Sus scrofa: one gene and its partners. The protein of the gene in region 1 binds, or shares a complex with, the protein of each later gene. Links are inferred from orthologs where the notes say so. Each region holds a gene or a part of one and is shown in the gene's direction. Other genes may lie near its edges. The genes, in order: GPKOW, SCNM1, DHX16, SNIP1, SRRM1, SNRPD2 and SNW1.

Evidence for each region.
Region 2: GPKOW (region 1) and SCNM1 share a complex: the UniProt entries of both Homo sapiens proteins name them as parts of the minor spliceosome. The link is inferred for Sus scrofa from reciprocal best matches to the Homo sapiens genes GPKOW and SCNM1.
Region 3: GPKOW (region 1) and DHX16 share a complex: the UniProt entries of both Homo sapiens proteins name them as parts of the minor spliceosome. The link is inferred for Sus scrofa from reciprocal best matches to the Homo sapiens genes GPKOW and DHX16.
Region 4: GPKOW (region 1) and SNIP1 share a complex: the UniProt entries of both Homo sapiens proteins name them as parts of the minor spliceosome. The link is inferred for Sus scrofa from reciprocal best matches to the Homo sapiens genes GPKOW and SNIP1.
Region 5: GPKOW (region 1) and SRRM1 share a complex: the UniProt entries of both Homo sapiens proteins name them as parts of the minor spliceosome. The link is inferred for Sus scrofa from reciprocal best matches to the Homo sapiens genes GPKOW and SRRM1.
Region 6: GPKOW (region 1) and SNRPD2 share a complex: the UniProt entries of both Homo sapiens proteins name them as parts of the minor spliceosome. The link is inferred for Sus scrofa from reciprocal best matches to the Homo sapiens genes GPKOW and SNRPD2.
Region 7: GPKOW (region 1) and SNW1 share a complex: the UniProt entries of both Homo sapiens proteins name them as parts of the minor spliceosome. The link is inferred for Sus scrofa from reciprocal best matches to the Homo sapiens genes GPKOW and SNW1.

Annotation. Positions count from the first base shown.
Region 1 is NC_010461.5:43,188,837-43,193,099, reverse strand, and holds the start of GPKOW (G patch domain and KOW motifs-containing protein), read left to right. Parts: upstream 1-1,261; 5' UTR 1,262-1,320; coding exon 1,321-1,452; intron 1,453-1,525; exon of another isoform or gene 1,526-1,678; intron 1,679-2,173; coding exon 2,174-2,320; intron 2,321-4,263. UniProt on the Homo sapiens protein: RNA-binding protein involved in pre-mRNA splicing. As a component of the minor spliceosome, involved in the splicing of U12-type introns in pre-mRNAs.
Region 2 is NC_010446.5:98,079,429-98,083,944, reverse strand, and holds SCNM1 (sodium channel modifier 1), read left to right. Parts: upstream 1-1,570; 5' UTR 1,571-1,689; coding exon 1,690-1,740; intron 1,741-2,007; coding exon 2,008-2,078; intron 2,079-2,318; coding exon 2,319-2,407; intron 2,408-2,504; coding exon 2,505-2,602; intron 2,603-2,710; coding exon 2,711-2,799; intron 2,800-3,463; coding exon 3,464-3,658; intron 3,659-3,906; coding exon 3,907-4,006; 3' UTR 4,007-4,101; downstream 4,102-4,516. Other genes in the region: LYSMD1 (lysM and putative peptidoglycan-binding domain-containing protein 1), read right to left, coding at 619-798. UniProt on the Homo sapiens protein: As a component of the minor spliceosome, involved in the splicing of U12-type introns in pre-mRNAs. Plays a role in the regulation of primary cilia length and Hedgehog signaling.
Region 3 is NC_010449.5:23,204,848-23,209,121, reverse strand, and holds the start of DHX16 (putative pre-mRNA-splicing factor ATP-dependent RNA helicase DHX16), read left to right. Parts: upstream 1-1,248; coding exon 1,249-1,455; intron 1,456-3,186; coding exon 3,187-3,437; intron 3,438-3,769; coding exon 3,770-3,932; intron 3,933-4,216; coding exon 4,217-4,273; intron 4,274-4,274. UniProt on the Homo sapiens protein: Required for pre-mRNA splicing as a component of the spliceosome. Contributes to pre-mRNA splicing after spliceosome formation and prior to the first transesterification reaction.
Region 4 is NC_010448.4:93,596,447-93,599,540, reverse strand, and holds the end of SNIP1 (smad nuclear-interacting protein 1), read left to right. Parts: intron 1-980; coding exon 981-1,245; 3' UTR 1,246-2,491; downstream 2,492-3,094. UniProt on the Homo sapiens protein: Required for pre-mRNA splicing as component of the spliceosome. As a component of the minor spliceosome, involved in the splicing of U12-type introns in pre-mRNAs. Down-regulates NF-kappa-B signaling by competing with RELA for CREBBP/EP300 binding.
Region 5 is NC_010448.4:82,318,908-82,322,691, forward strand, and holds part of SRRM1 (serine/arginine repetitive matrix protein 1), read left to right. Parts: intron 1-426; coding exon 427-621; intron 622-900; coding exon 901-1,020; intron 1,021-3,075; coding exon 3,076-3,350; intron 3,351-3,784. UniProt on the Homo sapiens protein: Part of pre- and post-splicing multiprotein mRNP complexes. As a component of the minor spliceosome, involved in the splicing of U12-type introns in pre-mRNAs. Involved in numerous pre-mRNA processing events.
Region 6 is NC_010448.4:52,035,143-52,039,501, reverse strand, and holds the end of SNRPD2 (small nuclear ribonucleoprotein Sm D2), read left to right. Parts: intron 1-3,344; coding exon 3,345-3,519; 3' UTR 3,520-3,602; downstream 3,603-4,359. UniProt on the Homo sapiens protein: Plays a role in pre-mRNA splicing as a core component of the spliceosomal U1, U2, U4 and U5 small nuclear ribonucleoproteins (snRNPs), the building blocks of the spliceosome.
Region 7 is NC_010449.5:100,739,283-100,743,066, reverse strand, and holds part of SNW1 (SNW domain-containing protein 1), read left to right. Parts: intron 1-2,622; coding exon 2,623-2,784; intron 2,785-3,784. UniProt on the Homo sapiens protein: Involved in pre-mRNA splicing as component of the spliceosome. As a component of the minor spliceosome, involved in the splicing of U12-type introns in pre-mRNAs.

The DNA of each region.
Region 1 (4,263 bases):
AAAGAAGACAGTGAAGAGTAATTAAAATACCTGACTTCAATATATACTATAGAGCCACAGTAATCATGACAGTGTAATAATCATAGAGGCTGTGAAGGGTCTGCTAGGAAGAGGGAAGAGCATGGGCAAAGGCAGGGAGGTGGAATGACAGTGGGCATAGCTGGGGAACTTCGAAAGCCCCATGGGGTCACAAGAACAGGGCAGAGCAGTGAAGGGGGTCCAGTGTGTCCCCCTCAGACAAGGGCAGGTCCGAGATGGGAGGCGCATGGGGTCGAAGGAAGAATGAAAGCAGGGACCATTCAGCCATGTCACCGACAAGGACCGCCAGGACCCTGAAAGGAGGGAGCGAGAGGTGGCCCAGCCAGCCAGGATGGACACCAGGACACAGTGTGCCCGTCCACAGCCCATGGTGACATAGTAACTGGGCCAAGGGACTGTCGGGGGTGAAGGGCCTGAGACCCACACTGCCCTTGGCTGAGGAGGGGCCCTGGGTCCCTCCCGCCCTCAGCTTCTTCCTCCACAAAGTGGTGGCCACAGGCCTTCTCTCCCTGCTCCCCATTCCTCCTTCCTGCTTCCACTACAGGACCACTGTGCCCAAGCATTCCCCCCTCGGGGCCTTTGTCTCCAGAGCCCCTCACCCCCACCCCCTTTCAGACCTAGGACGGGCCTCCTCTCTCCCCTCTCATTGCCTGGGGTCCCCTCCACCCACGTGCCTTGAAAGCCTCCTCGAGTCCAGCCCCCTACTGTCCCTCCACTCTCCAGGAGACCCACCCTTCCCTACCTTTGGAATCCCCCAACCCTATCATGCTCAGGGCCCTGACGCCTCCCTCCCGTGGCCCCCCAAGCCTCCGAGGTCACCCTCCCCCCCAGCCCCACATTCCCCGCCAATTTACTGAGTGCCTACGATGTGCAAAGCTCTGCTGGAGGCTGCAGAATACCCTGGGTAACGTGGGTTCGGGGTCCGCATCCAGTTTCCAGTTGTCAGAGCGCAGGAGGGGCCCTGAACGTCTCTGGGCCTCGACGTCCCCCTCTCCCACGTGGAATGACGACATCCCCGGGGTGGAAAAGAGGTTTCCCACGGTGCTGGGAAAGAGAGGCAGCGCCTGCGGCAGAGCGAGGCCAAGGGCTCGCGCGGGCTCCCTCCCTGGGCCAGGCCTCCTTGCGGGCCGCCAGGTAGGTCACCGCGCTGCTTGGGGCGCCTGAGCACGGGACCGGCCGGCCTCAGCCGCGTCCAGGCCCGGGCAGGCGGCCAGGTGAGCTCGCCCAGGCGCTCCCAACACGCCACTGGCGTCCGTGCGTCCAGCGGGCCGAGCACAGGTCATGGAGCCGCGCGCGGGGGGCGCCACAGACCCTAGGGGGAGCGGAGGAGGTACGGGGCGAACGGGAGCGAGTGGACGCGTCCCTGCCAGCCCTCGCCCCGCCTGTCTGCTCGTCACCTTTTCCTTCTGGCAGGTGGTAAACAAGGCAGCCCTGGCGCCCAAGGGGCGGCGGCGGCCGTGGCGGCGGCGGCGGCGATAGAGGGCAGGGCCCCAGCGACCCGGGCTGGGCTCTGGGCCCCCTACCCGCACCCGCGCTGCGAAGCGGTGCACCAGACCCGGGGGCTCTCAGGAGGGTCCGGGGAGAGGTGCAGGAGGGGGTCTGCCCGGGGTCACTGGACACACCTGGGCACTCGGGCAGGGTCTGTGGTGGCCTCCGGGGGTTAGGCAGGGCCCTGCGAGGATATGGGAAGGGGCAATCCGGGGCTACGTGGGCCGGCAGGGGTACCTAGGCTATCTAGAGGGGAACCGGGGGTGCCGGGGCCACAGGGGCCGGACCGTGTTCTGTCGGGACCTCTGGGAGAGTCGGGATCCTTCTCGATGCTGGCGGGGAAGAGTTTGGGATCTGGGATTCTGGCGGCAGTTGGGGGAGGGGGCAGTAGGACACCTCCAGAGATGCCCACAGGGTGTTCGGAGGGGTCCGGGAATACTGGGGTTAAACAGCTAAGTCCAGAGATATCTTGGGGGCAGGCGGGGTCCACGGGCAAGCGAGGGACAGTCGGTGACCTTCGCAACTGTGGAAGAGTGGTCCCGGGTCTCCGGGATCTTGATGGCCACTCTAGGTCTTCGGTCATCGGGGGGCGTGGGGGCTCGCTGAGACTGAAGGTGGGCGTTGATCTGCCCTTTCCGTTCGCCAGGCGGTGGCCTTCCTCCGCGCGCGGGCCCCAGCGCCCGGGAGCGGCTGGCGCGGCTGGACGCGCGCCCCCTGGCGGCCCGAGCTGCGGCGGACGTGGCGGCGCTGGTACGCAGGGCGGGCGCCACTTTGCGCCTGCGCCCCAAGGAGGGTGCGTGACAGGGGCGGGGCGTCCAGAGGGCGTGGTCGGAGCGGAGCCGGGTTCTGGGGGGGCGGGCCTGGGATTGTTAGTTACTGCCCTGGGTGGGGCCAGCGAGTGAGTGTGAGTTGGGAGGACGAGGCTCGGCGGTGTTGAGGGGTCTGGGATTTAGCCTATAATATTCCTCTGGGAGGTGACACAGAGGACGGCTATTGGATCTGGCGTTGCTGTGGCTGTAGGGTAGACCCGCAGTTGTAGCTCCGATTTGACCCCTAATCTGGGAACTTCCATATGCCTCCGGTGCGGCCTTAAAAAGCTAAATAAATAAATAGAGAATATTATTAATTTCCCAGATATCCCCTACCTACACTTCAAACTGATTTTTCTTTTCCACCTTTTTTTTTTTTTTCTTTTACGGCCACACCCAGGGCATATGGTATGGAGGTTTCCAGGCTAGGGGTAGAATCAGAGCTGTAGCTGCTGGCCTATGCCACAGCCACAGCAACGCCAGATAGGAGCCGCATCTGCGACCTACACCACAGCTCATGGCAACGCTGGATCCTTAACCCACTGAGCAAGGCTAGGGATGGAACCTGTGTCCTCATGGATGTTAGTCAGATTCATTTCCACCAAGCCAGGATGGGAACTCCTGATTTTTCTATTTAATGAAATATTGTAACTATTGTTCCCTGTTGAGCCATGAAGAATTTTAAAACATCTGTAATCAAAGTATAACAGTTCCCTCGTGGCTCAAGGTACCTGACTGGTATCCATGAGGATGTGGGTTCGATCCCTGGCCTCGCTCACTGGGTTAAGGATCCGGAGTTGTTGTGAGCTCTGGTGCAGGTCACAGCCGTGGCTGGCATCCTGGGTTGCTGTGGCTGTGGCATAGGCCGGCAGCTTCAGGTCCAGTTCGACCCCTAGCCTAGGAACTTCCATATGCCGTGAGTGCAGCCCTAAAAAAAAAACCAAAAACACCCAAAGTATAACTAACATTCACTCATTATCATACAGAACATCCTGCCCCAATTTTCCATTCTTTCCTTCAGATCCATTCTTTGAAATGGAGTTATCGCATCAGGGAAGAGATATATATTATTATACTGCCCCCGATAAACTTTCAGTCAATTTATGCCCTTATCAGCAGTGTATGAGTGTGCCCATTTTTTTCTTATTCTTTTTCTTTTGGGGCTGCACTGGCAGCATGAGGAAATTCCCAGGACAGGGACTGAACCCAAAGTATAGCAGCGACCCAAGCTGGTGCAGTGACAACACCAGATCTTTAACCTGCTCGGCAGCAGGACAATTCCCCCATTTTCTTCCATCTTTAATAACTTTGGGCATCATCCATAGTACTTACTATTTTAGATCTCGGCCCAGTTAGGCTCTCTGGACCAAAGTTCTCTTATCTGTAAAATGGATTTTAAAATAGCCCCTACCTGCAGTTCCCATCCTGGTGCAGCGGTAATGAATCCGACTAGGAACGATGAGGTTGCGGGTTCAATCCCTGGCCTCCCTCAGTGGGTTAAGGTTCCAGCGTTGCTGTGAGCTATGGTGTAGGTCGCAGACATGGCTCTGATCTGGCGTTGCTGTGGCTGTGGTGTAGGCCAGCAGCTGTAGCTCCGATTGGACCCCTAGCCTTGGAACCTCCATGTGCGGCGGGTGCAGCCCTCAAAGGACAAAAGACAAAAAAAAAAAATAGTTCCTACCTTACAGAATCCTTTGGAGAACGAAAGGAATGCTTAGATGTGCAACTGGCATAGAGAACATACCATAGAAGTGTTTGCACTTTTTTGCTTGGGGTCTTTACCCATGAGTTAAATGAAGAACATTTCATTATTTATTTATTTGCATTGCTTTCATTATTAGTGAGGTTGAGAATTTTCACACGTGCTTCATGTCTATTTGTACTTCCCATTTTGTGGACCACCTAATTATATTCTTGCCCATTTTTC
Region 2 (4,516 bases), on another chromosome or scaffold:
TATTTCCCATAAATGTTTCAACATTCTCATTTAAAACATTTCTATGTGGTTAATTGTAGGGGCTTTGGAGTTCCCTGGTGGCTCAGTGGGTTGAGGGTCTGGTGGCATCACTGCTGTGTCTCTGTTGTGGTGAGGGTTCAATACCTAGCCCAGGAACTTCCTGGCCAATCCCTGGCCAAAACAAAATAAAACAAAAGGGTATGGGCTTTGGAGTAAGATAGATTTGTTTGAATATTCACTCCAGCACTTACTAGTTATTTGACCTTGGTCAAATTGGTTAACCAATCTAAGTCTCAGTTTCTTCACCTATAAAAAGGGTATAATAATTGTATGCTTGATAGGGATGTGACGATCAGATGCGCTAATGGATGTAAAGTCTTTAGTATAGTGACTGGTATAATAAATAAGAGCTGCTCACCTCCACCGGGATATTGAGACAGGATTTGTCTCAACCAGACAGTGCAACACGAGATGGGACCCTTGTCAATTAATTTATCACAATTAACTAATTTAGACACAATTAGGAAAATTTCAGGTGAAGTTGCCCAGAGGGCCACTATATCCTCATGAGGAATAAATCTTTTCTGAGTGTCTGCGTCCCAATCCTGGAAGACTCACCGTCACCCCGTATTTGAGTGCTAGTCCAGCCAGGGTGTCTCCGGGCGCCAACTGATGCTCCAGGCGTCTTTCCCTCACCGGGGAGCAGGCAGACTGCACAAGGCTTCCATAAGAACGAGCCCGGCTCCCTTGAAGCAGTCCTGACCCCCCGAGGGGGGCCTGTCTAGAGGGAGAGGCCATCTCCTCACCCTGCGGACAACTGGAGTTGCAACTGCGGGAGGCCCGGCCAAGTGACCGATAGTGACAGGCCCGGGGTCTGGGAATGAAAATCTGGAGGATTCCTTTCCCTTTCTGTGTTCTCTCCTAAGTCTCTCCGCCTTCCCCCCACTAGGCGACCTCTGACTCCTGGCTTCCCCGCCTTCCAAGGCCTTTTCCCACAAACCTGTAACCTGACTGTTCAGTCCCTACCTGAGTTTCTCCTTAGTACCCCTCCGACTTTCGATCCCCCACAACTCGCGACATTGACCTCTGACCTTTGACCACTAGACACCCTCCTCTACACTACAGAGTTTGCCCCCAGGTCGGTCCGCCAGACCTCCCAGCCCCCAACCCCGATTCCGCGCGTCCCGGGCTTGGTCGCTAGGGTCGGGAACTAATCAGGCCCACTCCAGGTGGGCTGTGGCCTCAGGCGAAGGGCGTGATGACCGCGAGAATCTGTAGCACACTTTCCCCTGAGAGATCCTCAAAGGTACGCTCCGCATCAAATCAGTCACACTCTCAAACTCGGGATCCACAGCTAGGTTCCTCTTTCTCCAAACGCCTCTAATCTGCCAAGATGCAAGGGCCTGAATCGGGCAGGGCGGCAAGCTCTTTGAAAAAAGACTTCATTTCCCAAAAGGCTCCGCGCCGGCGGGGTCGCAGAGCACCATAGGAAATGCAGTCCCCTCTATGGGCTAGAGGCGGGTTTTCGGGATCGCGCGGCGCATGCGTGGAAGCGCATCCCGGAAGTAAGGGGGCCAACCGGAAAGAGACAGGAAAGAAAGGAGACGTCCCACTCTTGCTACGGTGGCCTGAAAGGAGTGGCGAACGCGGCGCGATAAAACTTATATTTCTGGGGCTCTCACAGTCGTGATGTCTTTCAAGAGGGAAGGGGACGATTGGAGTCAACTCAATGTGCTCAAAGTAAGCGCGAGAGGAGAGCATCTGGAGCAGCTTCAGTTGCCGTCTGAAGGCTGTGAGGGAGCTGTTTTGTTGCTGTGGCAACAACTCGGGGGAGGGGGGCGGAGGAAGCCAGACGATTGGAACTGGGCCGACACCCCTTCTTCAGCCCAGATCTCTACCCTTCTTGTGGCCTTTATTCCCTTTGAGTCCTCGTCCTTGTCATTTCCTTTTTGTTCCTCCCTCATATCCAGCTGACCCCGTCCTCATTTCTTCCCTTGTTCCCTGCAGAAACGGAGAGTCGGGGACCTGCTGGCGAGTTACATCCCAGAGGATGAGGCGTTGATGCTACGGGATGGACGGTGAGGACTAGGAGTGGATCAAGCCTGGGGGTTCTGCGGTTAGAGGCTCAACAAACTTTTGTTATTAAGCAGATTGGAAAGAACAAGGAATCTTTGGCGGGGAGTGAGTAACAGGGATGTTGGTGGTGGAGACTGGGAGACTTGGGATTTGGGCTTTGGAAAGGAGTTCTAGGCTGTGGTGGAACCTATGGCAGAGACTCCACTCCCCAGGAACCAATTATCTTCTCTCCTCCTCTCTAGCTTTGCTTGTGCCATCTGTCCTCACCGACCGGTACTGGACACCCTGGCCATGTTGACTGCCCACCGTGCAGGCAAGAAACATCTGTCCAGTAAGTTTGTGGGAAGACAGAGCATAGAGAATAAACCCTTAAAGGGTTTATTCACTCTGGGTGCCCTCCTTTTAATTCTCTTTCCCTTTCTCCTGAGGCCTGCAGCTTTTCTATGGCAAGAAGCACCCAGGAAAGGGCCTGGAGCCAAATCCAAGACAACAGAATGAATTGAGGAGAGAAGAGACCAAAGCAGAGGTAATCAGAGAGGGGAGGGTGTGTTCCAGGCTGCACACCTTAGGCTTGAAGGCTCTGGATTCTTTCTAGCTCTGAAGGTTCTGACTTTGTCTCCCATCTCCATGCCAGGCTCCTCTGTTAACCCAGACTCGACTTATTACCCAGAGTGCTCTGCACAGAGCTCCTCACTATAACAGTTGCTGCCGCCGAAAGAACAGGTCTGTGGGGTGGGTAATCCAGAAGTAGGGAGGAACAGGAGATCGATCGCTCTAAAGTACTGTTTTCCAAATTGGATTCTGAGGAATACTAGTGTTCTGGAAATGCTAACTTGAATTTCAGGAAAAAAGAATTTTGTTTGGGAAATAGGATTTTGTAATCCTGTTTGACGCATAGTAATATTACGAGTTCCCATCATGGCTCAGCGGTGAACAAACCCGACCAGCATCCATGAAGATGAGGGTTTGATCCCTGGCCTTGCTTGGTGGGTTAAGGATCCAGTGTTGCTGTGAGCTGTGGTGTAGGTTGCAGACACAGCTCGGATCCCATGTTACTGTGGCTGTGGTAAGGGCTGGCAGCTGTAGCTTGCATTCACCCCTAGCCTGGGAGCCTCCATATGCCACAGTGCAGCGCTAAAAAGACCAAAAAAAAGAATAGTAACAGTATATTTTCAGGGTTCTACACAGTCTTAAAAAAAAAAAAGCTGAAAAAACTAACTTAGGCTTTCCTTAAGTTCATTTGATTCCAAAATCCTTTTTATGCAGAACACCTGTTAATATCTTGAGGAATACAGTTTAGGAAGCACTGCTTTAAGGGGTTGGGAGTTACAGGAGATTTGGTCCTTTCCTTTACTGCTTTTACAGACTTTGATTCTTCTCTACCCAGACCAGAAGCCCCTCGTCCCTCTGTCTCTCGTTCCGCTTTTTCACCCCCAGAGGTTGAATCCCAAAGTGAGAGGATCAGTAGGGAACTTGAGCCTGCGGCTGCATCACAAACCAAGGAATCAGCCACTGTCTCATCCCCTGCACCTATGAGCCCCACAAGAAGACGGGCTCTGGATCATTATCTCACCCTTCGAAGGTGAGTGTACGGAATCACTTTCCTCAGATTGTCCCTTTTCTCTCTGGCTCTCCTTTTTTCAAACCTCAAATATTACTTATCCCTACTAGCTTTTGGGGGGGGCGGGAGGCCATGCCCACAGCATGCAGAAGTGTGCCACAGCAGTGACAATGCAGATCTATAAACTACCGAGCTACCAGGGAACTCCGCTACTAAATTCTTAACACATTTCCTTTCCTGATCGATTCTGTTTGTTCTGATATTTCCAGTTCTGGATGGATCCCAGATGGACAAGGTCGATGGATAAAAGATGAGAATGTTGAGTTTGATTCTGATGAAGAGGAACCCCCTGATCTCCCCTTGGACTGACACTCTTTCCCCATTCAGTTCACAAATAAACTATAGTGGGCGCTGGGAGCCTGACTTTCCTTGAGTCTGGTTCCTTGTCTCATTTCAGGATTTCAGGTCTGTTCGTTCTCAGCCTGGCCAATATTTCCCTGCAATGTACACAGCTCCCCATACTTCTAGCCCCTCCCCCCACTTCTACCAAAGTCATGCCAAGCGTCAGCTGCATGCAGCCCGGTGCCCTAAAATAAGTCTGTCAGAAGGAGGTCTTTGCCCTTCATGTTGTCTGACTTCTTCCCCACCTCCACTCAGAGTCTTTTCCTCCTTCAAATGACATGAAGTTTTTGGGTAGGCACTGGGTGGGGTGGGGGTGGGAGCTGGACAGGTCTGGAAACAGGGCCAGGGCTTAGCCACCCTGTGAGAGCAGAAGGGACTGAAGGCATTGGCCAGGTTATGGGGGACACCAAGGGAGAGAGCTCCCCCCACCTCCTCCTGGTAACTTGACCCTCCCTGCCTGCTGATCCCTAGAGTATA
Region 3 (4,274 bases), on another chromosome or scaffold:
ACCTCCATATGCCGCGAGTATGGACCTAAAAATCGATGAAAAATGAAGTTAAGCAGACGGTGGAGTTCCCTGATTCGAGCGGGTGAGGATCTGGCCTTGTACTGCTGTGCAGCAGGTTAGATCCAGGCACAGGGAACTTCCAAATGCCTTGGGCGTGGCCAAAAAAAATTAAGTAGCCACTGATCAATCTCTCAAGCTGTCAGGAAAGAAAAAAAAAGCAAAATACATTTTGTGCATTAGTTTGGAGATCTTCTAAAATAACTTTCTGAGAAGGCACTGAGTTTTTTCCTTCAGATCCCAAATTTCTTCCTACCTAGAGTCCTGCCTTATGCTTAACCTATATTCATTTCTGCAGAAAGTATCAGTCCTAGCAAAGGTCACTCCTAATCAGCACGGGCGAATCTGTAATAAGTGGACCGATCTTCTAATTTGAAATGGACTTCACCGCCCTCCCGCAAACACACACTCACAAACCTTGCGTTATTTTTGGTTTCATAGAATTTACATGTTTATTTTATTTTTTTATTTTTTTGTCTTTTTGCTATTTCTTGGGCCGCTCCCGCGGCATATGGAGGTTCCCAGGCTAGGGGTCGAATTGGAGCTGTAGCCACCGGCCTACGTCAGAGCCACAACAACACGGGATCCGAGCCGCGTCTGCAACCTACACCACAGCTCACGGCAACGCCGGATCGTTAACCCACTGAGCAAGGGCAGGGACCGAACCCGCAACCTCATGGTTCCTAGTCGGATTCGTTAACCACTGCGCCACCACGGGAACTCCTACATGTTTAATTTACATGTAAATTTCCCCCTCCCCCGCAGCCTCTGTAAATTCATCACGGGATTCGTTTCGGATTGATTTTTGCTATATCCCCGGGGACTGAAACTGTACCTAACGCATATTAGGATCTTAGCATTTGCTGAATGAAATACCTACAAATCACCAACGTGGTGGGGGAGGCAGAGAGATTAACTAAGGGAGGAAATGAAACTTTTATCCCGTACACTTCCGCGAGATTTGGGCCCGTTCAGCCACCGTAGTGCTTAGGCCGGAAAAGTGGACCACTTCCGGCCTCCGGGGTCCGGGAAGATTGCTTTGGACTGTCAGCAACCGAACCCCGAAGTGCTAAGGCAGCTTCTTTGGGGAGGAGAGGTTCCAGCCCGGGGCTCCAGGCCTCCGACCCGCCCGGTCGCCAGCGTGGCTGCTGGAGATACTTTCAGGGCCAGGAATAAGGAGCATAGGTCGCCATGGCGACGCCGGCTGGGCTGGAGCGCTGGGTGCAGGACGAGCTGCACTCGGTGCTGGGGCTGAGCGAGCGGCACGTGGCCCAGTTCCTGATCGGTACCGCACAGCGCTGCGCCTCTGCGGAAGAGTTTGTGCAGCGCCTGCGAGACACTGATACCCTGGACCTCAGCGGGCCAGCCCGGGACTTCGCCCTGAAACTCTGGAACAAGGTGCCTAGAGGGGCGGGGCCCCGGCGTGGGAGAAATAGGAGAGGGGGTGGAGCAGGGAAGGGGTCCCCAGGTTGTTTGTCCCAGTGAGGCTGGGCTGGACGCGCGTTTGGAGAATTAAGTTAACTCAGTTAACAGGCGTTTATCCTTTGTCCGTTATCGCCTGCGGGTTGAGGACGGCTTAAGTACGTTGGGTTAAGCGGTATAGAGCAGTGTTCTCAAACTTTTAACAGGTGTAGGATTCCTCTAGAGCTTTTGTTAAAATGCTGCTTCTAATTCAGTAGGTCTGGAAAGGATTCTTCGTTTCTTCATTTCGAAATCTAACAAGTTTCCAGGTGATGCTGATGGTCCACAGACCACACCTTGAGTAGTGCGGTTATAGAAGAAATGTGTGGGGAGTTCCTGTCGTGGCTCAGCGGTAACAAACCCGACTAATAGGACACAGGTTCCATCTCTGGCCTCACTCAGTGGGTTAAAGGATCCAGTGTTGCCGTGGGTTGTGTAGGTAGCAGACACCGGCTCAGATCCTCCCTTTCTGTGACTGTGGTTCAGGCCGGCAGCAATAGCTCCCATTAGACCCTAGCCCGGCTGGGAACTTTACATGCCACAGGTGTGCCCCTAAAAAGAAAAAAGAATGAAAGTATTGAGCTTGTTTACAGGATGGCAGATAACCTGATGCATCCGTCCTACAAGGTGCTTAGTGAGAGATGAAATTAGAACATTGTGATGTGAGGGTCAGGGCTTTTTGTTAATCTGTTCACCACTGTATCCTTGGAGTCTGGTACAGTGCCAGGCACGTGACAGGCTTCTGCAAAACAATCCTTGTCAGTTTGTCAGTCCTTGTGTTGGAATGACATTTTTTTTTTTTTTTTTTTTTGTCTTTCATCTTTTCAGGGCTGCACCTGCACCATATGGAGGTTCCCAGGCTAGGGATCCAATTGTAGCTACAGCTGCTGGCCTACGCCACAGCAGCACAGGATCTGAGCCACGTCTGTAACCTACACCACAGCTCTAGGCAACGCCATATCCTTAACCCGCTGAGCGAGGCCAGGGTCGAACCCGCATCCTCATGGTTGCCAGTCAGAGTCATTAACCACTGACCACAACTGGAACTCCCTTGTATGGGAATGACTTAGTCATTGGAAAGAAGGGAGGCAGAACAGTTGAGAACTGTTTGAGAATGTAAACTCCATGAGGATAAGGATTTTTCTCTTAATGTATCCCAGTATCCCTAATGCCTAGCAGTGGGTGCACAGGACAGGCTTTAATGAATGTTTGTTAAATGAATTACTGAAAAGAAGTTTAGAAGCTGAGCGGTCCCATTCAGGCAGGTGGGCCTGGTGCAAGGTCTTGGGGAAGGGAGAGAATGAAGGCCAGTTGAAGATCAAGTTACTCCTGGAGTTCCCGTCATGGCTCAGTGGTTAACGACTCTGACTGGCAACCACAAGGATGCGGGTTCGAACCCTGACCTCGCTCAGTGGGTTAAGGATTCATGAGCTGTGGTATGGATCATAGACGTGGCTCGGATCCCGTGTTGCTGTGGCTGTGGTATAGGCCGGCAGCTGTAGCTCTGATTGGACCCCTAGCCTGGGAACCTCCATATGCCTCAGGTGCGGCCCTCAAAAGACCAAAAAAAACAAAAAACAAATTACTCCTTAAATTAGGAGCAGGGCTGAGTAGGTAGGCAGGGATCGGGAGTTGCCCACACCCCCTTGTCTTCTCCTCTTCTGACAGGTCCCACGGAAGGCAGTGGCAGAAAAGCCAGCTCGGGCAGCTGAGCGAGAGGCCCGAGCCTTGCTGGAAAAGAACCGATCCTACAGGTTGCTGGAGGACAGTGAGGAGAGCAGTGAGGAGGCTGTAGGCAGGGCTGGGAGCAGTCTCCAGAAGAAGCGGAAAAAACGGAAACACCTCAGGAAGAAACGTCAGGAGGAAGAGGAGGAAGAAGAGGAGGAAGAAGTTCCTGAGAAAGGAAAGAAGACTACAGGGTAAGTCAGAAGTAGGGTGAGAGAGGAGTTCCTATTCTTGTTCAGTGGTAACCAACCCGACTAGTATCCATGAAGACACGGGTTCGATCTCTGGCCTCAATCAGCGGGTTGAGGATCTGGCATTGCTGTGAGCTGTGGTGTAGGTCACAGACGTGGCTTGGATCCCGAGTTGCCATGCCGTGGTGTAGGACCCTTAGCTTGGTAACTTCCATGTGCCATGGGTGCGGTGGCCCTAAAAAGACCAAAAGTGGGGGGTGAGAGGATGGGGCGGGTGGATAATGCGACAGCAGGCCTCGGGATGCCCTTAACTAATCCTCTGGGCTGGGTTGCAGGGGGAATAAACCACAGACGGAGAAGCCAGAGTCGGAGGATGAGTGGGAGCGGACAGAGCGAGAGCGCCTTCAGGACCTGGAGGAACGGGATGCGTTTGCGGAGCGGGTTAGGCAGCGGGACAAGGATCGAACTCGCAACGTCCTGGAGCGCTCAGACAAGAAGGTTTGTAGGAGCAGCACGTTCCATAAATCCCCAGGAAGTTGCGTCTGAGGTTTGGTGTGATTGCAGAAAGTGACCTTTCGGAAGACAGGAGCTGCCTCCAGTGGCGTCTTCCGGCTGAGAAGGCTCTCTGCTGGACCTGTAGCCACAGAGAGTCCTCAGTGAGGGGGGACATTTCTTTGTGCTGGAGAACACCTGACTGAGCCTGGGGATTCTAGAAAGAGAATGGGTGTGGGGACTTTGGGCCTCACAAAGTCCTCTCTGGGCCTCTTGCCTTCTTCTCCTAGGCTTATGAAGAGGCTCAGAAGCGCCTCAAGATGGCTGAGGAAGACCGGAAAGCCATGG
Region 4 (3,094 bases), on another chromosome or scaffold:
CAGAAGCCTATGCCCCTCGTGTCTAATACTAGTCTCAGTTTCTACCTACTTGCAAGGCTGTTACGAGGATTAAGTGGAAGTAAAACTAAGGATGCCTGGCATGTGTTAGCTGAATCTGTATCTTGACAGGTTCCGTAGCACATCTTTTATTGTTGGATGTTCACAACAATCCTGTGGGGAGGCGAGGACAAGTATTAATATCCCATTGGACAGACAAGAAGATATAGCTCAGCAGAGCCGAGTGGCCTGCCTAAAAAATGATCACTATGGTAGAGCTCTGGCTCAAATCAATTTTAATTTGAACAATTTTGATCATTTTATCTGTTCTCTTGACTGTAAAGTCCAAGTCCATCATTGGTTTGTTCCCATTAGGACAGAGGCTAAAATACGGTGAAATATAAGTGAAAGAAGTATTATATGGCTTCTAAACAAATGTATTTCTTAAGCATGGCAAGAGGCCTTAGATTCCCCCCTCCTCACCCCAAAGGGCTGCACCTGTCGCATATGGAGGTTCCCAGGCTAGGCGTTGAATCAGAGCTACAGCTGCTGGCCTGCGCCACAGCCACAGCAACGAGAGATCTGAGCTACGTCTGCACCCTATACCACAACTCACGGCAACGCCAGATCCCCGACCCACTGAATGAGACCAGGGATGGAACCCACATCCTCATGGATACTAGTCGGATTTGGTTCCAGTGTGCCACCACGGGAACTCCAAGGCCTTAGATTCTTCTAAGGTTTTGATCAGCCATGAATTCCTCCACCTAGTGACCGTTTATCACCGCATTTCTACTAAGCATATTTAACTCGCTCCCAATTTCCAAATCCATGGCCATACCTTCTCCTTGATTTCCTAGCATTTGAACTTGAACTGTGTTCAAGCCAGGTTATTTACATCATCATCTAAGCTATGTTAGCCAAGAGTTGGATGATATGAGGCAGGATTTCACTCACAGGTTTCTCTCCTTTATCTCTGTTAGGCTTGTGGAATATACCCGTGCTGATGGGACAGTTGGCCGCAGGGTGAAGCCCTACATCATTGACCTCGGCTCAGGCAATGGAACGTTCCTGAACAACAAGCGAATTGAGCCTCAGAGATACTACGAACTGAAGGAAAAGGATGTCCTTAAATTCGGGTTCAGCAGCAGAGAGTATGTCCTGCTTCATGAGTCCTCTGACACATCTGAAGTAGACAGGAAAGAAGATGAGGATGACGAGGAGGAGGAGGAAGTGTCTGACAGCTAGCAAACTAAGAAACAACCCAAACTCCCGAGAGACCTGTTCTTTCTTCAGAGGCTTTGGGATTGACTCTTAAGGGCACTGCCGTGCGCTCTGTAATGCCTCTTATTGCCTTAAGTCTTTCCTCTGTTGCTGACCAGCTTACGTTAGTTACAGTTTAAGAAAACTGATTTCTGTTTGGTTGAACTCTTTTCTGTGGCACATCAACCGCATGCCTGTGGGCGTTTGTTTTCCGAACAGTCTCACCAACACATCCCGTTTTAGTAGAAACATTGTGGCTTTAGTTGGTGCTTTCAGAACTGCTGTCTAGGAAACTATAAACCCTTCCTCAAAGGGGAACTGTGGCTTGTTCTCTTTGTACAGTTACTTTATTTATATAGTTGTTAAGCTGTGTGGACTGGGTTGGTTTTTGTTTGGGGGGCAAACCCCTGAACAGAGAATCTTACTAAGCTTTGGTTATTACCAAAACAGCCTCTAGACTATATACCAAAGCTTTGACCTGGTTGAGCTCTTGAGTCATGGAAATTGATTTTGCACTTCATCTGGGGGGGGGGCGTGGTTTACCACATGACCTCACTATTGACTATTGGACTTAAAGAGATGCTTTATGGAGCCTGCTTAAGCATATGACTGTACAGGAAGATCATGGCCACTGCCGGTAGATGCTGATGACACGTCATGAGAGGCTGAAATGGGTCATGGATCTGTGAGAGAGCTCTGATTTCTCCTTGGAGCATGTTCATAACAGTTTTGATCATCTTATCTGTTCTTCAACTTTGCATTTTTATTTTGATTTTATCTCCATTCTTCTCTGAGAAACACACTGTCATTTATGTGGCAGGGTCCTTGCTTTATTCTAACAACATACATATGTCTAAAGGAGGTTGTGTGGTTCACATGTTTCATCTTTTTAAAAAGACGTTCAGAGAGGTGGTATTTACCTTCCCAAGGCTGGAAAGCATGGGGAATTGCCCGACTTCCTAATTCTCTACCAGAGGAATATGTGTAAGTAGAAAAGTCATTAACTACTTACATCTATTGTGTGTGTGTGTGTGTGTGTGTGTGTATATATATGTACATATTTAAGAAATTGTGTGTGAAAGAGCGGCATACTGATTTTCATGAGAATGTTTTGGGATGTAAATGTAATACTACATTATAGGCAAAGGCCTCCCTGCATTTGAAGAGCAGGTTTTCATTTATATATGTATTTTTGGAATAAAAAATAATAAAATTTGTAAATATAACCTCATTTCGATGTGTACTTCTTGCCTAGCATGGAGGTATGTTTGCTGCAAAAGAAATCTTTGTTACCAGTGTTTTGTTTTTTTTCTGCCTTTTCTAGGGCTGCACCCTCGGCACATGGAGGTTCCCAGGCCAGGGGTCTAATGGGAGTTGTAGCCACCAGCCCATGCCACAGCCACAGCAGCGCCAGATCCAAGCTGCGTCTGCGACCTACACCACAGCTCACAGCAACACCAGATCCCCAACCCACCGAGAGAGGCCAGGGATTGAACCCGCAACCTCATCGTTCCTAGTCGGATTCCTTAATCACTGAGCCACGATGGGAACTCCTATATCAGTATTTTTGAGTAAAAGGAGACAGTTGTGGAGGGTGTCACAGGGATATTGAACCCACACCAGCGTAGGAACCCAGATCTTCAAATCTCAGCGAGTGAATGATGGTCCTGCTGAAGCAGCCATGTTTTCTGAGTTAGCAGTGAAGGGGTTTTCCTTCCCAGAGTAGTCGGGTTATACTCGGTGGGCTTCATACCAGTTGACCCCAGTCCCTGCTTGTGCACCCTCAGCTGGTGATGGGGAGGAAGGAGAGATGATCCAACTGAGGGCTGCTGCT
Region 5 (3,784 bases), on another chromosome or scaffold:
TCTGCAGTTTTAGGCTGTTATTCGGTGAGTGTAAATAGGTGTACCTCTGAGTTAGAAATGTAAGCTTACTAATTTTCTTTTTAGGTTATTTAAATTACAAAGTTAGATTGTTGAGAAATTTAAATTGTATAGGAGAGTATAAGTAAAATGCCCCCAAGATGACCACTGCTATCTGCTGTTTTTTTAATTTCCAATATTATATACTGTAACCTGCCCCCGTCCCAATATTATGGACAACTTTGCAGTTTTAAGAAATGGATGTGGTTAGAATTGTTGGTTGTTCACTGAATTTTACTGATGTGTATATATCTTTCTAGACATCTTCATGAATTTTGAAAACCAAAGAAAGATAAACTTTTTGTATCATTGTATTATGACTTGGGATTCTGAGAAGAGGGGGAAAGTAAGCTTTTTTTCCCCCCACAGTGACATCCTGAAAGTTCCCAAGCCTGAACCTGTACCAGAGCCTAAAGAACCTTCTCCAGAGAAGAATTCCAAAAAGGAAAAGGAAAAGGAGAAGACCAGACCAAGATCTCGGTCACGTTCCAAGTCAAGATCCCGGACACGTTCTCGCTCTCCTTCTCATACTCGACCTAGAAGGCGCCATAGATCCCGATCAAGGTGGGTAATGGCTGTAATATCTGCCTAGATCTTAAATTTTATGTGCTAACTCTCCTAGATAGAATTGGGTAAATTATTTCAAAGCAGTAGAAAAATTTTGCACAAATGTTAAACTTTGAATTTAGAGAGAATTTGAGGGCACTTTGTATGGTCTGTAAAAATCTACACACTCATATCCCTTGAAAACCGTTTTTTGGATGTAGTTGTCAAGAAAACTATGTCAAGGTGTTTGTTCTTGCTCAAGATTTATTCAGATTCTAATTCTGTTTGTTATGGTAGATCATACTCCCCTAGAAGGCGGCCAAGCCCAAGAAGACGGCCATCTCCTCGAAGAAGAACTCCACCGAGACGAATGCCTCCTCCACCAAGGCATAGAAGGAGTAGATCTCCAGTGAGACGGTGAGAGGTGGTTTTTTGTTTTGGAAGTGACCATATATTTGTTTTAGGCTAATCTTTGAATTAGTGTCATCCTGGGAAAAAAGAAGTCATGAGTGGTATTAAGCAATGTCTTATAAAGATCATCCTCATTTGAGGTTGTAGTGCTGTTACTTGTGCAATGCTAAGCAACACTAATCCAGATTTGGAAAATTAAAAACAAATTCACTATCTTATTGATACTTGTTATCTGTGTTAACCTTGATCTTTTCAGATGCTACCAAGAAATCCTATCAAGTAAGGGAATTGGCTGCCTTACCCTTTCTTTGGGTTTTAACCATTAGCTTCTAAATATAGATGACTGCAGAGCCAGTTGATTGCTCTACCAGTATTAAAATAATTCACTTGATTTATACTCTTAAAGATTTTTTTCATATTTAAGAAGTAGTGAGCAGTTATTATAAACAGTTAAAACAAGTAAAACGAACTTAGAGTTACCCAGTCCCATTCCATAGATATAACTATTGTTAGCAATTTGAAGAGGCCGCATAAAAGTAACCCTGTCAATACCAGTGTTCCTTTTTAAAAATCATTTTTAAATTAGCATAAGGTGGAAGTTGCTGTTGTGGCTTAGTGGTTAGGAACCCAACTAGTATCCATGAGGATGCAGGTTCCATTCCTAGCCTCGCTCAGTGGGTTAAAGGATTCAGCATCACTGCAAGCTGTGGCATAGGTCGCAGATGTGGCTTGGTTCTGGTGTTGCTGTGGCTGTGGTGTAGGCTGGCAGCTGCAGCTCTGATTTGACCCCTAGCCCAGGAACTTTCACGTGCTACAGTTGTGGCCCTAAAAAGAAAAATCAATAAATGAATAAATTAGCATAATCTATCACTTGTAATAGAAAAATTGTTACATCTGCCCAAAGTGGAGGCATGGTGTACTGGTAGCAGAGCTTTGTACCTTTTAAATTTTTTTTAATTTTTAAATTAAAAAAAAAAAATTATGGCTGCACCCAAGGCATGTGGAAGTTCCTGAGCCAGGGACTGAATCCTAGCCATAGCTGCAACCTATGTGCAGTTGCAGCAATGCCAGATTCTTAACCCACTGTGCCATGGCGAGAACTCTAGTTTTGTGCTTTCTTGACAATACATTTCACCTGTTTTTGGAAGGACCTGATAATTATACTTCAGATTATACTTAGGACAGAGTTTTTGGTTTTCGAGTTTATTGAACCATTTTTTATAACTACTGCTAAAAATTACGGAATTGATGTTACCATTGATAAATAAATAAGACTAAGGATGTAAATGGTCAGCCAGTTTAGGCGTCATACTTTTCTAAAAATGATTGTTCCTTAGAAAAGTAGAGCTACTGCTTTCTAGTAGAAGATTAGTGGAAACAGCTATTTCTTACATTGGAGTTTTGCAAAAAGTGTGTTTTAATTGCTTACTGAGCCATTTAGCAGTCAAATAATTTGCAGATTGTGTAAGATTCCCTTTCAGCCAGTTTTTATCTCACACTTAAGGTAGGGTTTCTTTTTTTCAGGTTCTCAGGAATTCTTCCGCCAAAGGTGAATTCTGCAGGTACACATAATTGCACAGAACTTACCACAAATTTTGCCGCAGAATTCGAGAGGCCCCTGCTTCTAAGTTTATGTAGCTAAATGAATTCCTAATCCTGCACATCTTTTTTTTTAAAAATGCAGCCTAAAGGTTGACATTTTATTATTGAGTGAAAAAATACTTTGCCATCCAAATTTTATATGCAAACTCCAAAACACTCATTATTCCAAGGAAGGAAGAGACTGGCTAGTTATTATATTGTAGCACTGGACATATTTTATAGCTGGAAATAAAAATCAAACAGAAGCATTTATCAGAATAAGTTATTTGTAGTTAGTCTCAGAACTAGCTGTTTCCTGCCTAGGTTATGGTGTTGTTTCCCTTTAAAAAATTAATGTGCTTAGCTACATAAACTCAAAAGTTGGATACAAATAGCTGTATTTTTGTGTAAACTGTACATTCCTGTAAGGTCGTTCTCGGTACGTATGCAGTTAATGAATATGAGCACTTTATTCCACAGAAGAAGGCGTTCATCAGCATCCTTGTCTGGAAGTAGCTCATCATCATCTTCGTCTCGTTCCCGGTCACCGCCAAAGAAGGCTCCAAAGAGGACATCCAGCCCCCCTCGAAAAACTCGTAGGCTATCTCCTTCAGCAAGTCCTCCAAGGCGAAGGCATAGGCCCTCACCTCCAGCAACTCCACCACCAAAAACTCGTCATTCCCCAACACCCCAGCAGTCAAATCGTACAAGGAAGAGTCGTGTTTCTGTCTCTCCAGGGAGGACTTCAGGTAAAGGTAAAAATCAATATGTTCTTTCTTTGTTCATTTGGCTACAAAATACCTAGTCGTCATTGTTGTCAAAGTATGAAGTAGCTGGGTAATATTCGTATGTGATGTTTTTATAAATTTGCTGAGAAGCTCACCTTTTCTTTCGTGCTGTAAGTTCTTGGGGTTTGTTAATGGAGTCTACATGGTAAAGCGTTTTGCTCTTAGCATGCCCTCGGCGTTGAGTAGGTGGAGAGATGTGCTATTACCAGGCGTGGGCTGTTTGAGTTGAGGTAACTTAACTGAAGTTTGTGTTGTCATGGTAAGGGAACATTTTATTATTATGAGACCAGTTAACTTTTTTTTTTTTTTTTAACCCAGAAGATTTTTTGTTTGATACCTTAATTGAGGACTTCATATTTTGTTTTAATTCTTTCTTGGCCACATTGTACTCCCCAGGGCTG
Region 6 (4,359 bases), on another chromosome or scaffold:
CAAAATAACAACAACAGCAAAAAACCATTGGCAGTCCTCAGCATCAGGGAAGTGCTTTCCTCTCGGCAGGGGGGTGAAGCTTACCTCTGGATTGCTTTTGCCAATGGCTACTGTGGGACCAAGAACAAAGCTTTCACTCTGAGCCTCAATTTACTCTTGAGTAAAGTGAGAACGAGAACGATAGGAAGTGCCGAGCCCAAGGAGGCAGATAGACCTGGATTCGAACTCAGGCTCTGCCTCTTCCAAACTGTCTGACCTTGGGTGAGTGGCTTCATCCCGCTCTTCTCAGTTTCCTGCTCTGGAAGCTGGAAGGAACTCCAATGTGTGCCTCCTGGGGGTGAGATGCTGTGAGGATTGATGAGTTAATGCTTAGAAAGTCTTGGAGTTCCTGTCGCAGCGCAGTGGTTAATGAGTCCGACTAGGAACCATGAGGTTGCGGATTTGATCCCTGGCCTTGCTCAGTGGGTTAAGGATCCAGCATTGCCGTGAGCTGTGGTGTAGGTCGCAGATGCGGCCTGGATCTGGCGTTGCTATGGCTGTGGTGTGGGCTGGAAGCTGCAGCTCCGATTAGACCCCTAGCCTGGGAACCTCCATATACCGCAGGTGCGACTCTAGAAAAGACAAAAAGACACACACACACAAAAAACTTGGAGGAGTTCCCGTTGTAGCGCAGTGGTTAACGAGTCTGACTAGGAACCATGACGTTGCCGGTTCGGTCCCTGCCCTTGCTCAGTGGGTTTACGATCCGGCATTGCCGTGAGCTGTGTGTAGGTTGCAGACGCGGCTCGGATCCTGTGTTGCTGTGGCTCTGGCATAGGCTGGCGGCTACAGCTCCGATTGGACCCCTAGCCTGGGAACCTCCATATGCCGCGGGAGCGGCCCAAGAAATGGCAAAAAGACAAAAAAACACAAACAAACAAACAAACAAAAAAAACTTGGAAAGTCTTAAAGAGGCCTAGTAGTGGAGTTACTGTTGTGGCGCAGTGGAAAGGAATCTGTCTAGTATCCACGAGGATGCGGGTTCAATTCCTGGCCTTGCTCAGTGGGTCGGGGATCCGGCGTTGCCCTGAGCTGTGATGTAGGTCGCAGACGTGGCTCAGATCTGTGGCTGTGGCATAGCCCAGCGGCTACAGCTCTGATTCGACCCCTAGCCTGGGAATCTCCATATGCCTCAGGTGTGGCCCTAAAAAGACAAAATAAAAAAAAAGTTTCCAGGAAGTTCCCGTCGTGCCGCAGTGGTTAACGAATCCGACTAAGAACCGTGAGGTTGCGGGTTCGATCCCTGCCCTTGCTCAGTGGGTTAAGGATCCGGCGTTGCCGTGAGCTGTGGTGTAGGTCGCAGACGTGGCTCGGATCCTGCGTTGCTGTGGCTCTGGTGTAGGCTGGTGGCTACAACTCCGATTCAACCCCTAGCCTGGGAACGTCCATATGCCGTGGGAGCGGCCCAAGAAATGGCAAAAAGACAAAAAAAAAAAAGTTTCCATCCAATTTCTCCCCAGTTTGTCTAGGTCACCCACGGTCACCAGGCTCTAGGTGGCTTTCAAGGGTTCTATATTGGGAGTTCCCCTGGTGGCTCAGTGGTTAACAAATCTGACTAGCATCCATGACGATGCAGGTTTGATCCCTGGCCTTGCTTGGTGGGTTAAGGATCTTGTGAGCTGTGGTGTGGGTTGCAGAGGCGTTGCTGTGGATGTGGCGTAGGCTGGCAGCTACAGCTCCGATTAGACCTCTAGCCTGGGAACTTCCATGTGCCATGGGTGTGACCCTAAAAAAGAAGAAAGAAAGAAGAAAGAAATCCTTTCTGAAAAAGGATTCTGTATTGGACACCTGGTGGAGTATTTGCTTTTCCTACTCCCGTCTTCCTACAGAAAGTGTTTTCGTTGTTTCAGAAGATGGCTTTCTGTGCATACTGTTCCCTTCCTTGCTTTTCCCGCCCAATGCTATGTGCTCAAGGTCACGCCACAGCGAGGACGGGGCTTCCTCAGGGGTCTCCTTTCTCAGGCGGGATGATACCTCCCTGTAACCTCCTGTCCCTTTACTTTGCTTGAATTTTTCTTCATAGCACTGACACCACCTGCCAGTAGATTTCAGGTGTCTTGTTTACCTGCTGAGTGTTCTTCCCCCGTCAGTCACTAGAGTGTCTGTCTCTCTGTTGAGTGAGCTGAATCACGTGTCCCGCCCACCCCGCCCCCGGCACCCTGAGGACAGGGACAGAGCAGAACTGGAGCAGAGGCATCACGTACCCCGTCAGGCCACCAGGGACTGCTGGTTCTCCAAAGAGAAGCTGTTCCTTTGCTGATGCCTTCAGAAGTGCTCAGAGTTAAAAAGCACAAGCAAAACCATTTATCCTGTGCCTGGCCCTGTTCTGAGTGCTTGATGGGAATACCGTATCGATTCATTTATTCTTCACAACAGCCCGAGGAGGTGGGCTCTGTGAACATCTCCCTCTTGCTCTCCTCTCCTTTCCTGTCTTTTCTCCCTCCCTCCCTTCTTCCCTCCCTGCGGCCAGTGCCAGGGATCTGATCTGAGCCACAGTTCTGCAGTTGCGAGGTCGGTGCTGCTGCTGCGCCAGCAGATCCTTTGACCCGCTATGCCGGGTCAGGAATCAGACCTGTGTCCTGCAGGACACTGCAGAGATGCCCCTGACCCCGTTGCACCACAGCAGGAACTCTGAGCATCCCTGTTTTATTTATTTATTTATTTATTTATTTATTTGCATATTCTTCCATTTTATTTTATTTTTTATTTATTTATTTATTTATTTATTTTGGTCTTTTTTGCTATTTCTTGGGCCGCTTCCGTGGCATATGGAGATTCCCAGGCTAGGGGTCCAATCGGAGCTGTAGCCACCGGCCTATGCCAGAGCCACAGCAACGCGGGATCCGAGCCGCGTCTGCAACCTACACCACAGCTCACGGCAACGCCGGATCGTTGACCCACTGAGCAAGGGCAGGGACCAAACCCGCAACCTCATGGTTCCTAGTCAGATTCGTTAACCACTGCGCTACGACGGGCACTCCTTATTTTTTTTTTTTAATAATTTTTTTTATTTTCCCACTGTACAGAAAGGGGGTCAGGTTATCCTTACATGTATACATCACAATTACATTTTTTCCCCCACCCTTTCTTCTGTTGCAACATGAGTATCTAGACAAAGTTCTCAGTGCTATTCAGCAGGATCTCCTTGTGAGCATCCCTGTTTTAGAGAGGAGGAAACTGAGGCACAGAGGGCCGAGGGACTCACAGAGGAGGCCTTGGAAGCCGGCCAGCCTGGTCCCGGGCCTGCGCTGCTGGAGGAGGGGCGGTCAGGGTCCCGCTCACTCCCGATGCTCCCTCCCCGCCAGGCACTGCAACATGGTGCTGGAGAACGTGAAGGAGATGTGGACTGAGGTCCCCAAGAGCGGCAAGGGCAAGAAGAAGTCCAAGCCCGTCAACAAGGACCGCTACATCTCCAAGATGTTCCTGCGCGGGGACTCGGTCATCGTGGTCCTGCGGAACCCGCTCATCGCCGGCAAGTAGGCGCCCGCCCGCCCTCCTGCTCCCTCCTTCGTGAAGACCTGCCCTTCGTGATGGGAATAATAAAGTCCTGCGTTTTTTCTAGAGGCATCTGTCTGTTCCTGGGGCCTAAAAAGTGGGGCTGAGCCGGGGAGGGGGCAGCTGGCCATGAGGCTGAGCCCTGGGGAGGGGTCCTCCCTGAACCGTGAAGAGGCCTGACTTGCCCCATCCGTGAGGGGAATGGGTTGAGCAGAGAGAGATTTTGCTGTCTTTTCTGCTTAATTTCTTCCAGCTACTCATCGTTTTCTCTGTCTCCCTTCTCCCTACTTCTCTTTCAGTAAGTTGGTTTCACTCTTAAGTTTCTTTCAGTCTTTTTTGTTTTTCTTCATTTCTTTAGTCAAACGATCCCCCAAGTGTCTCCTCTGTGCCCAGCTCTGTGCTGCAATGTTGTAGACACCGCTGTGCCCAGAAGAGCCCCAGCCTGCCCGCCTGACAGGAGGGGAGCTGCATGGTTAAAGCGGTCAGTACCCCAGGCTGACACCTGCTGAGCTGTGAGGGCTCCGGGCTCTGAGCAGGCACTGTGGTTTGTCACCTCCAGCTCCAGAGGCTGGGACTGAGGCTCGGAGAGGTGATGGCACCTGGCCAGGGCTGTCCAGCCAGAGTGGTGATGCTGTGATGGAGACCCACCCTGCTCCTGAGACTGTGGCCAAACCCCTGAACTCTGCTGCCGTCAAACTGCAGCTTAATTACCCTTGAGAGAAATTCTCTGGCAGATGTAGGGAGGTAGAGGTGGGAAAGGGGGCCGTGCCTATTGTGGGGGGATTAAATAAAATCCCTGTCTTGCTCTGATGTGCACACATCATG
Region 7 (3,784 bases), on another chromosome or scaffold:
CTATTACCTTTTAAAATTTTACTTGACAAAGTTATTTCATGTATCCTGGTGGAGCAGAATAGTTTATTTGAAAATCAAACCAGAATGACCAGCTAATAGAAATACTGTGGAGTTCCCATGTGGCTCAGTGGGTTAAGGATCTGCCGTTGTCACTCCAGTGGCTCAGGTCACTGTTCTGACACAGGTTCAGTCTGGTGGCCCAGGACCTTGCACATGCTCTGAATGTGGCAAAAAAAAAAAGAAAAAACACTGTGAATGCTTCTTGAGGGGAGCAAATGTTCTTGGAAGAAAGCATTTTGTTCTAGTTTTCAAAGTAAAAGCTATGATTTTCTGGCAAGCTTAATGATTACCTAATGCAACAACTACAGTCCTGAAGTGCTTATTTTAGTTGAAGAACTCTAGCAAATCTGAGCATGTGTCAGAATGATGGCCCAGAGTACAGATAGCACCTTTCTTGGGAACGTTTTAACTATTTTCTGCCTAATTTACAAGAAAATGTCTCCTTTAGCTTTATTGTTTAGTTAAAAAAAAAGGCAAACCTTTCTCTAGCAAGTAAGCATTTTGTACCTAGAAAGTCATATATCCAGGGTCTGATGGAATATTTCTTGAAGAAAGAGGTAATATAAAAGTGGCTATTTTCATAATTTTTTTCATCAAACCCCTGCCAAATGATTGATATTAATATATTTTTCCTGTCGTATTTCAGTTTAGCAGAAAATTCAGAGATTTTTTTTGAAGTCAAATGATCTGGGTCAGGGAGTTCCCTGGCGGTCTAGTGACTCAGACTCGATGCTTTCACTGCTGGGGGGGAAAAAAAAAGATCTGGGTTCAAGTCCTGCATAACTACCATAAAACCTGGGAAAAATATCATTTTTAACTTAGTTTATCTAAAGTTGAATTTTTTCCATAGGAAATATGAGGCTTTTAAGAATTATAAGACAATATGTGTGGATTATATTTTGTACATTATAATAAGGTACTAAGCAAATATTAAATCTAACAAAAGTATTTAATGTTTGGTATTCATGTATTAATTTGATGACATACTTTTTTGTATTATTAAACTTCATCAACAGACTTTACTTAGCTTGTTTTACTTTAGAAATCTTTTTTTTTTTTTTTTTGTCTTTTTGCCATTTCTAGGGCTGCTCCCGTGGCACATGGAGGTTCCCAGGCTAGGGGTCTAATGGGAGCTGTAACTGCCGGCCTACACCAGAGCCACAGCAAGGCAGGATCTGAGCCATGTCTGCGACGTGTACCACGGCTCACAGCAACACCAGACCCTTAACCCACTGAGCAAAGCCAGGGATCGAACCCGTAACCTACTGGTTCCTAGTCAGATTTGTTAACCACTGAGCCATGACAGGAACTCCTTACTTTAGAAGTCTTAATTCTCTCTTCTAAACCATTGTATATAATCATCATTAGAAATGTGGTGAACTCATTTCCTATTTATCCGCTTCTCATGGAACACTGAATAAATAGTACATTATTAAAATCTGAAGAAGAAATATAATTCTTTACATTTCTGCTCTAACTATAGCTTGACTTCTATAGTGAGTTCTTCACAAAGAAAATTATGTATGCTAAAACAAAATCTTTTTCTTATGCTAAACAATTTGCCTAATTTCTTCCTGCCATGTACATAAAATCCATATCCTTGCCGTGGTTTAGGATCCCTTTCCTGATCTGGTGTTTGTCTGCTCATGCAGCTGTATCACCTATGTGTCTGCTCCTCTGCCCTCAGTAAGCTACAGCCCCACTGGACATTCTTCCTAGAACATGCCAACCTCATTCTTTTTTTTTTTTTGGGGGGGGGTTTGTCTTTTGTCTTTGTTGTTGTTGTTGCTGTTGCTATTTCTTGGGCCGCTCCCGCAGCATATGGAGGTTCCCAGGCTAGGGGTTGAATCGGAGCTGTAGCCACCGGGGCCTACGCCAGAGCCACAGCAACGCGGGATCCGAGCCGCGTCTGCAACCTACACCACAGCTCACGGCAACAACGCCGGATCGTCAACCCACTGAGCGAGGTCAGGGATCGAACCTGCAACCTCATGGTTCCTAGTCGGATTCATTAACCACTGCGCCACGACGGGAACTCCAACCTCATTCTTGCAGCAGAACCTTCTCACTTGCTGTTTGAATCTGCCTAGTAAATGCTTCCCGCAGATCCTCCCATGACTGATTTCTCATCATTCAGGCTTCAGTTCATGTTACCTCTTCACAAAGACTATCTCAACCACACTATTGAAAATAGCCCCTCTTCCTAGTCCCTTTCTTGCTTTCAAGGTGTTTATTACAAGCCAAAAATTATGCTTTTTATGTTTTTTCCTACGGAAATGTACACTCCACAAGATCAGGAACTTCTGTTTTGTTTACTGCTGTATCTCTAGCGTCTAGCATAATAAGGGCTAATAATTATTTGTTGAATGAATGAGTATATGTTGAATCTCAAATTACTATTAAATATTCTTTTTTGGCCACATCCACGGCATGTGGACATTCCTTGGCCAGGGATCAAACCCAAACCATAGCAGTAACACCACCAGATCCTTAACCCTCTATGCCACCAGGGACCTCTTCAAATTATTATTAAATAAATTCTTATTTCTTTTTAACATATAGGATTTTGGAGATGGAGGTGCTTTCCCAGAGATCCATGTGGCCCAGTATCCTCTGGATATGGGACGAAAGAAAAAAATGTCAAATGCACTGGCCATTCAGGTGGATGCTGAAGGAAAAATTAAGTATGATGCAATTGCTCGACAAGGACAGTCAAAAGACAAGGTAACCCTCTTACTAATTTTTTTTTCTCCATTGATAAATACTGTACGAGGAGTTTTTTTAATTGTGTGAAAATGATAAATCTCTGGTCATTTAGTTTATGTTAAAAATAACAGTGAAGCATACTTAGGCTAATTAAAAGTGACTTCATAATAGCAATGACTTTTTCCTTCGAAATTCCCCAAATTGATAATAGCTTATATATACTTAGGGTTTGTATGTATTTGTTTTACATTTTTAAAATAATTCTTTTTTTCTTCCAGTTTTATTGAGATATAATTGATGTACAGCACTGTATATTAAAAACAATTCTTTTCTAGTACTAACTTTTTTAAATGCTAGCAAATTTTTAAAATCCTAGCACCCTAAAAATGTCAAAATTTAGTTTTGTCTATAGTTTCTTCTGTTTCTCTTCCATGGACTCATAAAGTACATAGATGCTTAATTATTTTAATGGTTCGTTTGAATATAATCATACAAACTTCTTTCTCACTTAAGCACAAAACTAACACATGCTGGTTTTAGCATGGGCCTGCTTACAAAGTAATCCAAAGACCAAAAATAAAGTTTTACTTAAAATTATCTCATCACAGGGCAGCCACACTCAGAGCAAAGGAACTCTGCTTTAAGATCGAGTTTTTTTCTTATAAATAAATACTCCAAATAGAGGTTTAAAAAAAAATCTTTTTAGAATTGAAGATATTGGGGAAAGTACTTAATCATCAGAACCTGTCCTTTGTCTCTTCTCTTTCTCTGAAACATTTTCATTTTACCCTCTAAGACAGCAGTAATGATAAACCATCCTTTGCTCCTATGTCATGGCTGTTGAGCTTTGGGGGGAAACAATTAGGCAGTCATACAAATTTATATCTCAGGTTTCAGCTGGTCCCTCTTGGTAGGGAGCTTTAACTCCTGCTCTTTTCCATCCCCTCATTTTGGAAAGCGACTCCCCACCTATTTACAGATAAGGCTAGTGGAAGAAAATTATCAACATTCTTTTTCC